Macaca mulatta: one gene and its partner. The protein of the gene in region 2 interacts with the protein of the main gene of each other region in a pairwise test. Links are inferred from orthologs where the notes say so. Each region holds a gene or a part of one and is shown on either strand. Other genes may lie near its edges.

Region 1 (4,204 bases), on a different chromosome or scaffold from region 2:
GTTCTCAAGCTGTGGTCCATGAACGTCGGGAGTCCCTGAGACCTTTTCAGGCATCCATGAGGGCCTCCCTTTCCCAACTGCATGATTTGTGTGAGGCTGGGGTTTTTCATACCTACAACTAGACAACTAAACAGTATATTTGGAGAGACTGAATGCAGAAGTACACATGAGAATCTAACCTTCCATTAAGCCTGATATTAAAGACATCAGTGAAAATGTAAAACGATGACAGTCTTCTCAATTTGTTTTTGTCTTAGAAAATATAGGTATTTTTAAAGTGTGATTTTTATTACCATGGAATGGAGTTTTATATTATTTTAAATGAATTAATAACTACATTTTTAAAATTCTGCTTTAATTTCTAATACAGCAAATATCGATAAATAACCCACATAAAAATTCTCTGGAGTCCTCAATAATTTCTAGGAGTACAAAGAGATCCTAAGGCCAAAAAAAAAAAAAAAAAAAAAAAAATTACTAATTGGGAGATACAAGTGTCAGAATATACAGTAACTGTTCAGTAATATTGCTGTAAATTAATCAATAGGATTGCCTATTCACAACAGCAAAGGCATGGAATCAACCCAGGTGCCCATCAGTAGTGGATAGGATAAAGAAAACGTGGTCCATATACACCATGGAATACTATGCAGCCATAAGAAAGAACAAAATCATGTTCTTTGCAGCAACATGGATGCAGCTGGACATCATTATCCCAAGTGAATTAACAAAGAACAGAAAATCAACCACTCATGTTCCCACTTACGAGTGAGAGCTAAACACTGGGTAATCATGGACATAAAGATGGGAACAACAAATGCTAGGGATTCCAAACACGGGGAAGGAGGCAGGGGAAAGGTGTTGAAAAATTACCTAGGGAGTACTATGTTCACTACTTGGGCAACGGGATCATTAGAAACCCAAACCTTAGCGCTATGCAATATATCCGTGTAATAAACCTGCACACCTACCCCCTGAATCTAAATTTTTAAAAAAATTACATTAAAAGATAGGAGCGCCTCCTCCTTTACACCACCTGAATTATCATGGCACGTAAGTCTCACACCCTATTTGCCAAGGCCATTCGTTCCTAGCTCTTTTACAGGGAGGTCAGCTTTCTCAATGCAAGTCTGTGGGACGGATGCAGAAAAATTCCCCCAGCCTCCCCTTTGATCCTGCCCCAGCTGGTCCCCGCCACGCTGAGGGACGCGTACCCTGGGACGCGCACCCTGCTGCCCGCAGCCGGAGCCGTTCGCCACACCCCCGTGTTTATGTCGGCCCACGGGGGTTGCCTGTCCCTTTAATTGGCATGTACCAAGTCTTTCCAGGTCACATTTCCTCCCTACGTCCCAGCCGTTTGGAATCATTAGCCAAAAGTCCAAGAGGAGGGAATGTGGAGACAGTGTTGTATTTCTGCGGGGAGTTCTGGGCCGACCGGGAGCGAGAGAACGCTCGAGGACGAAGCGCGCCATTGCGGCCCTCCCCGCCGCGTGCCGTAGTCCAGTCCCAAGATGGCGGCCACCATGAAGAAGGCGGTGAGTGGGGCGCTCGGGGCTCTGGATGCGCGGGTGGCGCCGAATCTCGGCCGCGGGGGTTGGGGCGCGGGATGCTGGGGGTGCGCAGCTCCGAAGCCCGGCGTGGGACCCGAGGCCGAGGCCGAGGCCCTGAGAGCGGCCCCGCGGCAAGGCCTGCCCGCGCCTGGCGCCCTGAGCGTTTTCCTAGGCACCTGGCCAGCCGAGGCGGGGAGCCGGGGCTGGGGCCGGGAGCCTCCGAGGGCCCTGGGCCGCCTCCCGCGATGCCGAGGGTGCCCCCGGGGAGTCTGAGGAATCTGCAGCCCCAGCCTTGCCCCTAAGGTGTGGGAAGTCGAAGGTCTCGTTGAGTGTGGTTGGCCTTGACTCGGGCGTTGCACCGGCATGATCGCATTAGCCTCATTGGTTATGGGTAGCTGCTGCTGGGACCGTGGTTACGGGTGAGGAAACTGAGGCCCAGAGATGGGAAGTCACCTGCCTCAGGTTACGCAGCTCATAAGGGGGACAGCAGGTTCCTGCATCCCCGGATTATCAGGCCCAAGAGCCCCCGTGTCCAACCCGGAGCTGCCCATGTCCACGCTCTATGCCCCTGAGTCCTCCAGGCTAAAACCAGTATTTATTGAAGACGGACGATCTGCCGGCCCAGCAGCCGGCCCTTTATCCGTTATCCTCCCCGCAGCTCAGCAAGTGCAATGGGTTCCTCCCCACTTTGCAGGTAGAGAAACTTAGACACAGAGCAGTTAGGGGCCCCAAAGTGACTCAGCTAGTAAGAAGCTGAGCTGGAGTTCGAACTCAGGTTTGGTTTGGTTTTTCTCAAAGCACACCTATGTAACCACTAAGCAGGCTAAACTTCCATGTCGGGTTTATAAATCCGTGGCTTCCCAGATGTGTAAAGATAGCTAGACAGAAGAAAAAGAAAAGTGGAGAGGGGGAAGGAAATAACGACTGACAATTTGGGGAGCTTTACAGTGTGCTAGGTATAGCTGTACTTTTTTTTTTTTTGGGTGTATTGTTTATCTTATGTACTTTAGGGGAGATACTGTTTTTATCCTTATTTAACAAATGAGAAAACAGGCACGGAGGCAAAGCTAGCATTTAAACACAGGCATTCTGACTCCGGAGTCTGAGTTTTAAACTGCTATAGGGGGTCTTCCATGAGAATCTCTTGGCTGGCGGGATTTGCATTCATTCCACTTTTAAGACCACATTAGAACTTCCTTTGCTTTACCCCCATCCAGTACCACATAGTCTATGCCATCTGTGCCTGGTGTAGGGTGACCCATTGCCCCGTTTTATATGAAATTGAGGGACTGCCAAAACTGGGAACGCCCCAGCTAACTCAAGATGTGTTGCTCACCCTACTATTCTGCCATCCAAAAATTCTTACTGAGTCCCAGAGTAGGGTCCAGGGCCATGGTGATTCAAAACAGTATGAAACTTGGTGAGATTCACTTCACCTCTAGTTTGTGAAATTGGGCCCTCTGGTGTTAGGTATGGCCTTTAATTCCTTGAAAGATACTAGTTGTGGTTCACTCCGTTTTATAGGTATGGAAACTGAAGTGCAGAGAGGTGAAGTAAATGGTCAAAGAGGAAATGGCAGAAGAATGATTTGAACCCTGGATTTTGATTGCAAAATTTCTAATTATCAACTTTTGTTTTCCCCCTTTCATTGATTCAGTAAATTTTTGGGGGCATGTAATATGGCATAGTCTCAGTTTTAAGTGGAGACAACTGCGGTGACCAGTGAGGAAGTTCTTCTCCCCTTATTCTTATAGCCCCAAAGAACGTATGTTCCAGGACAGAGGCAGGCATTACTCACATAGTCACACAGAAAACTAGTTTCTCTGGTGAGAACTGTGAAGGAAAAGTACTTACGAAATGAGGGCCAAAATGAGGTCTGTTTTGAGATCAGAGAAGGCTTTCCTGGGAAAGTGCCATTTAAGTTGAGATCTGTGAGATTATGTAAGGAAAGAAAGGGAGAGTTGGATAGAGAATGAAGCATTCTAGAGAGGAGTATCTGCAGAGACTCTGAGTACATTTAATACAAGGAAGGCCTGATGGCAGATAATCAGGGGAAGAAAGTTTGAGCCATGATGGGAAAAGAACTTGTAGAAGGGTAGGTGGTGGCCAAAATATAAAAGATCTTCGTTAACTTTGAAGCCTTTGAGAGTCACATGATAGATGTAATGTCCTCCTGTAGATGTTTCCAGTGTTATGAACAATTCCCGATAGATTATCTTACATGTACGCTTTTCCCCTTTGCCCTCAATGGGAGAAAACAAACATGTATGCCAGTGAGTGAGAGTGAGACAGAGAGAGAGAGCCCTTTGAGTTTAATGAAAAGCAAATCATGTACAATCTGGAGTACTTTACATTTGTAACACATCGTTATCTCTCAACTGGTCATGATTTTGCTGGGGAGAATGTTTAGATGAGATGATTCAGTACTCTCATCTCTAAAGTTCTGCCTTCTAAGATCCAGTTCTTGACCATAAGGAGATCTGCACTTTGATTTCTGTTGATTATCCTACATACAAATGTTCTTTCCTCAGAGAGGCTACCTTTGACCTTTATCTAAAGAAGCCTCCTTCACTCCCCAGGCCCCCAAAACTTTCTTCTCCTAAGCTATTGTATTTTCATCATCACGTTTGTCACCATCGAACATTATCTCGTTC
Region 2 (3,959 bases):
TTACCTACTTTTCCAAAACAAAAAAATTTTTTGGAAGGCATTGAGGTGGGGGAAAGTGGTGAAGAATAGAGTTCCCATATACTTTTCTCTCCAGGAACAGAGACATTATCTCACAAAGCTGCTGACCAGAAAAAGTCAGAGTCATGGTTAGCTAACATGTCTTCATCCTCCCAAGCCAAATCGCATAGAAGCCACTGGAGAACTAGTTTGGAATTCCGGCTTCACTACTATGTAGTTGTAGGATTTTGGAGAAGCTGTACAGGTTCACTGAGCTTTAGTTTCCTCATTCACAATATGACGATACCAATTTCTTCCTCATATTATATATAAGGACATATCTATGTCTATATGCTTGATCGTACATTATCTGTGTAGATAAACCGGTAACAGTGATTGCCTCTGAGAAGAGAGACTTACTTTCCGTTGCATAATTCTTAGGCTCATGGTAGAATTTGTGCAAGTGGATGAAGCACTGCCTCACTGGAAAACACTCCAGTGAAAGAAGAGAAAGGACAGAAAACAGCCCGAGGAATAATTACTTGGTTCTGTATGACACATGTGCTTTTAAAGGGTTGTAGTGTAGGATGACATTGGGTAAGTCCATGGTCCTAGAAGCCTAGGTGGAGTTCTTAGGATTTTGTATGTAGACTATGAAGTTTTGGAAACGTTTGAGCTGGAGAGAAGACATTCTGTTCAAAGGTGGCTTTCAGGAAAGGCTGGTGCGACAGGCAGGGTATTTATTAGAATGAGGCCAGTGACCACTCTGAAACAGACACAAAGTAAGTTCCCTTCAAGGGGCAGAAAGCTCCCTGGGATGGTGAGACCAGAAAGGCACAGAGGCTGAACCCTCGTGATGGAGCTAGGTCCCAGGTTCGCTAGCATCCGAGAGGGGGATTGGGTCGCTCCAGAGGCCATTGTGAAGGCTGCTGCCAGTTCTAGGGTCGGGGTGGGGTCAGGCTAGGTCCCTATTCCTAGGGCTTTAGCACCGCTCACTCACAAATCCCCTTTTCCCAGGAGGGCCTAAGGGTTTTTCCTGTCGCTCTAGCTTCTCTTCCGCGGCCCTTCCACGCTTGTCACTTACCTGAGGGCAGCCAATGAGCACCTACAGGTTGGGCTACTTTCGGCCATAGGAGAACGGGGGCTTATGGGGGACCCTCCCTGCGCACCAATGAATGTGCATGGAGAGGCGGGCCTGCAAGTGCTAACAAGCCAATCACGGAATCCCGGCGGCCGGCGGCCCGGGAGGCAGTCGCGCGCTCGCATCCCCAAGATGGCGGCCGCTAAGGACAGTTGTGGCAAAGGAGAAATGGCCACAGGGAATGGGCGGCGGCTCCACCTGGGGATTCCTGAGGCCGTCTTTGTGGTAAGAGGCACGCTGTTACCTGGCATCTTGGCTTGAGGCCGCGGACTGCCCCTTTCTTCCCGGCTCCCACCCAGGCCTCGATTGTTGGAAGGAGCTGAGCTAAATGTTCAGGGAGGGGGCGCTCGGTCTGCTCTCACTCTTCGCACCTGGATAGATTGAGCTCTGCTGGGGCCCGCCCGGAAGAAACGTAGCTCGAGAAGGCCCTAGAAGAGAACGGGGTTTGGGGCCGGAGCGAGGGGCGAGGGGCGGAGGGCGGCGGGTCAGGGCGGCCTGAGGGACCTCCGGGCTGCCGCCGGTTTTCGTCCCCCTGCTGGTTGGAAAAGGGGAGGTGGTGAGGAGCTCGACTCAGCATGGATGCTGGAGAGACAGTACAATGAATAGGCAGAACAGCCAATGCTAAGATGTGAAAACGGAATATCACCTTGTCTGTTGAAGGAATGCAGTGGTCTGTTGCCTCGGGGAAAATGGAAGAAGAGACCGATGGGAAAGTAGGATGATAGGGTGAGAGTGTAAAGTCCTTCTGTGTTTTGCTAAAGAATTGAGGTTTTTCCGGTAGGCAACGGGCTGTCATCAGAAGGCCTTTCGTTTTAGGTACATCATTCTGACAACTTAGTGGAGAATGAATTGTTGAGAGAGGAGACTGAACCCTCGTGATGGCGCTAGGTCCCAGGTTCGCTAGCGTCCGAGAGGGGATCGGGTCGCTCCAGAGGCCGTTCTGGAGGGCGCTGCCTGTTCTGGGTGGCTTTAAAAATTTTTCGTTTTGTTTATTTAATTTAGAAATAGTAGTTGAAAACTATCTGACTAATGAGAGAAAACGTCTGACTGGCCCTCCAGGCCAGGTCATCTGTCTGTCCCCACTTAGCTACTATAAAATCTTCATGGAAGTTTCTCAACCGTTTGTTTTGTACCTTACCTTACCTCTGCCTTTTTCACTAACCACGTCTTATATCCTAAAGACTCATTTATTTATACCACACTTGATATTGTATATTTGCATTTGCTGATTGAATTTCGTAATTGTTTGGTTATTGTTTTGTGTTTTTATGAGCTGTGTCATTTATTTCTCTACATTGACCTATTATCATAACAAAGAATAAAATTTGTTGAGTGCCGGGCACTTTCTTAATTTTACAAAACTCGAGGTGGTAGCTACTGTTATGCCCGTTTTTTAGATGATAAAACTGAGGTACGGGGCCCTTGGCCCTTGAGTAACTTGCCCAGGCCACACAGGATATAAGTGAGGAATCCAGGATTTGAACTTGGGCAATCTGTGGAGGTCCAGACCGGCGGCTTACCCTTCATGCTCTGCTACTGGGTAGTGTAAGTAGCAGAGAGTTCTCATGCATCGCCCCACTCCTCCTGGTCATAGCACAGTGCCTGACACATAGTATAAGTTCAAACTGGGTGTCTAATTGAATTTCCATAGTGCCTTAAATGTTACATTCATAGTGCTCAGCTAGAGATGGCCTCAGAAATCTAACTCGGGAGGAGACACTTTATCTGAGGGCTTTATAATGTCTTAAAATGCTTTTTCCCTACAATGTCATGGTTATTTTTTTCTAGACCTTAAAATTTCTACCTGCATAATGTAATAAGCAACTCAAATTTTATATAACTGTTTTTGTTTCTAAACTATTAATAATTGAAGTGACATGGTATTGTAGAAATATTATCGGCCCTGAGTTTCTTTAACTGAAATAGGGATGACAATACTTAGAGAGTTGTTATGGGAAACAGAGGACATGCTTGCAGTATTGCAGTGTAGTAGGTGTCAAATAGATATTAATGTTCATGGTGATAGGAGGCAATGTACCATAGTGGTTAGAAGTCAGACCTAGTCCATTCCCCAACCCCACTGAGGCAGTAATTTGTTTTCTTTCTCTGCTTGAATTGTTCTTTCACCCTTGTCCATTTCATGACCTCTTCATCTTTCCACATCTAGTTCAGCTATCATCCCCCTGTAGTTTTTGCTGACCTCTACCCCAAAACAAAATCCCTGGCACTTTGTGTTCCTGTGGCACATTATGCTATAGATAGGTGTCACGTACTCTTATAGGCATCTCACCTATGCTAATTTCTGGTGATGAAAAGGTACTTGTACAGATGATGAGGAGATTGAGGCAAAGAGAGGTTAATTAACTTCCCTAAGGTCAACTCATCTAGTGAGTGGTGAAGCCAGGATTCAAACCAGGCACCTCCTGTCTCTTAACCACAGCCTATGCTGCTATAGTTAATTCTTGCTGAACTCCAGCACCTAATAACATGTATCATGTGCTAGAAACTTACACTTCTTTCTCTTCCCTCCAGTGACCCTTCTAGGAAGATGGCATCTCTCTTTTACATACAGAACTCAGCCTCACCTTTTCAATTTCCTTTACTGTCTCTAGTTTGATGGCTTCGTAGTTCACTCCCTTGCTGTGTTTCTCTTCCTTTTTCTTCCTTATTTCAGCTAAGATATTCTCTGGTAGCTAATAAATATGGATAAGAATAATGATTTGAAGATCTTAAAAGCTATAAGATAATTGAAGTTACTTATAATAAAGAACTAGACTTCTGTAAAGTACTAGACAGCTCTTGTAGCATCTTTTTAAGTTTC

The links. The genes of interacting proteins can lie anywhere in the genome.
Region 1: the proteins of VBP1 (region 2) and PFDN4 interact in binary tests that used the Homo sapiens proteins (3 or more experiments, as listed by UniProt). The link is inferred for Macaca mulatta from reciprocal best matches to the Homo sapiens genes VBP1 and PFDN4.

Annotation. Positions count from the first base shown.
Region 1 is NC_133415.1:107,034,945-107,039,148, forward strand, and holds the start of PFDN4 (prefoldin subunit 4), read left to right. Parts: upstream 1-1,401; 5' UTR 1,402-1,511; coding exon 1,512-1,535; intron 1,536-4,204. UniProt on the Homo sapiens protein: Binds specifically to cytosolic chaperonin (c-CPN) and transfers target proteins to it. Binds to nascent polypeptide chain and promotes folding in an environment in which there are many competing pathways for nonnative proteins.
Region 2 is NC_133426.1:161,508,939-161,512,897, forward strand, and holds the start of VBP1 (prefoldin subunit 3), read left to right. Parts: upstream 1-1,153; 5' UTR 1,154-1,168; coding exon 1,169-1,363; intron 1,364-3,959. UniProt on the Homo sapiens protein: Binds specifically to cytosolic chaperonin (c-CPN) and transfers target proteins to it. Binds to nascent polypeptide chain and promotes folding in an environment in which there are many competing pathways for nonnative proteins.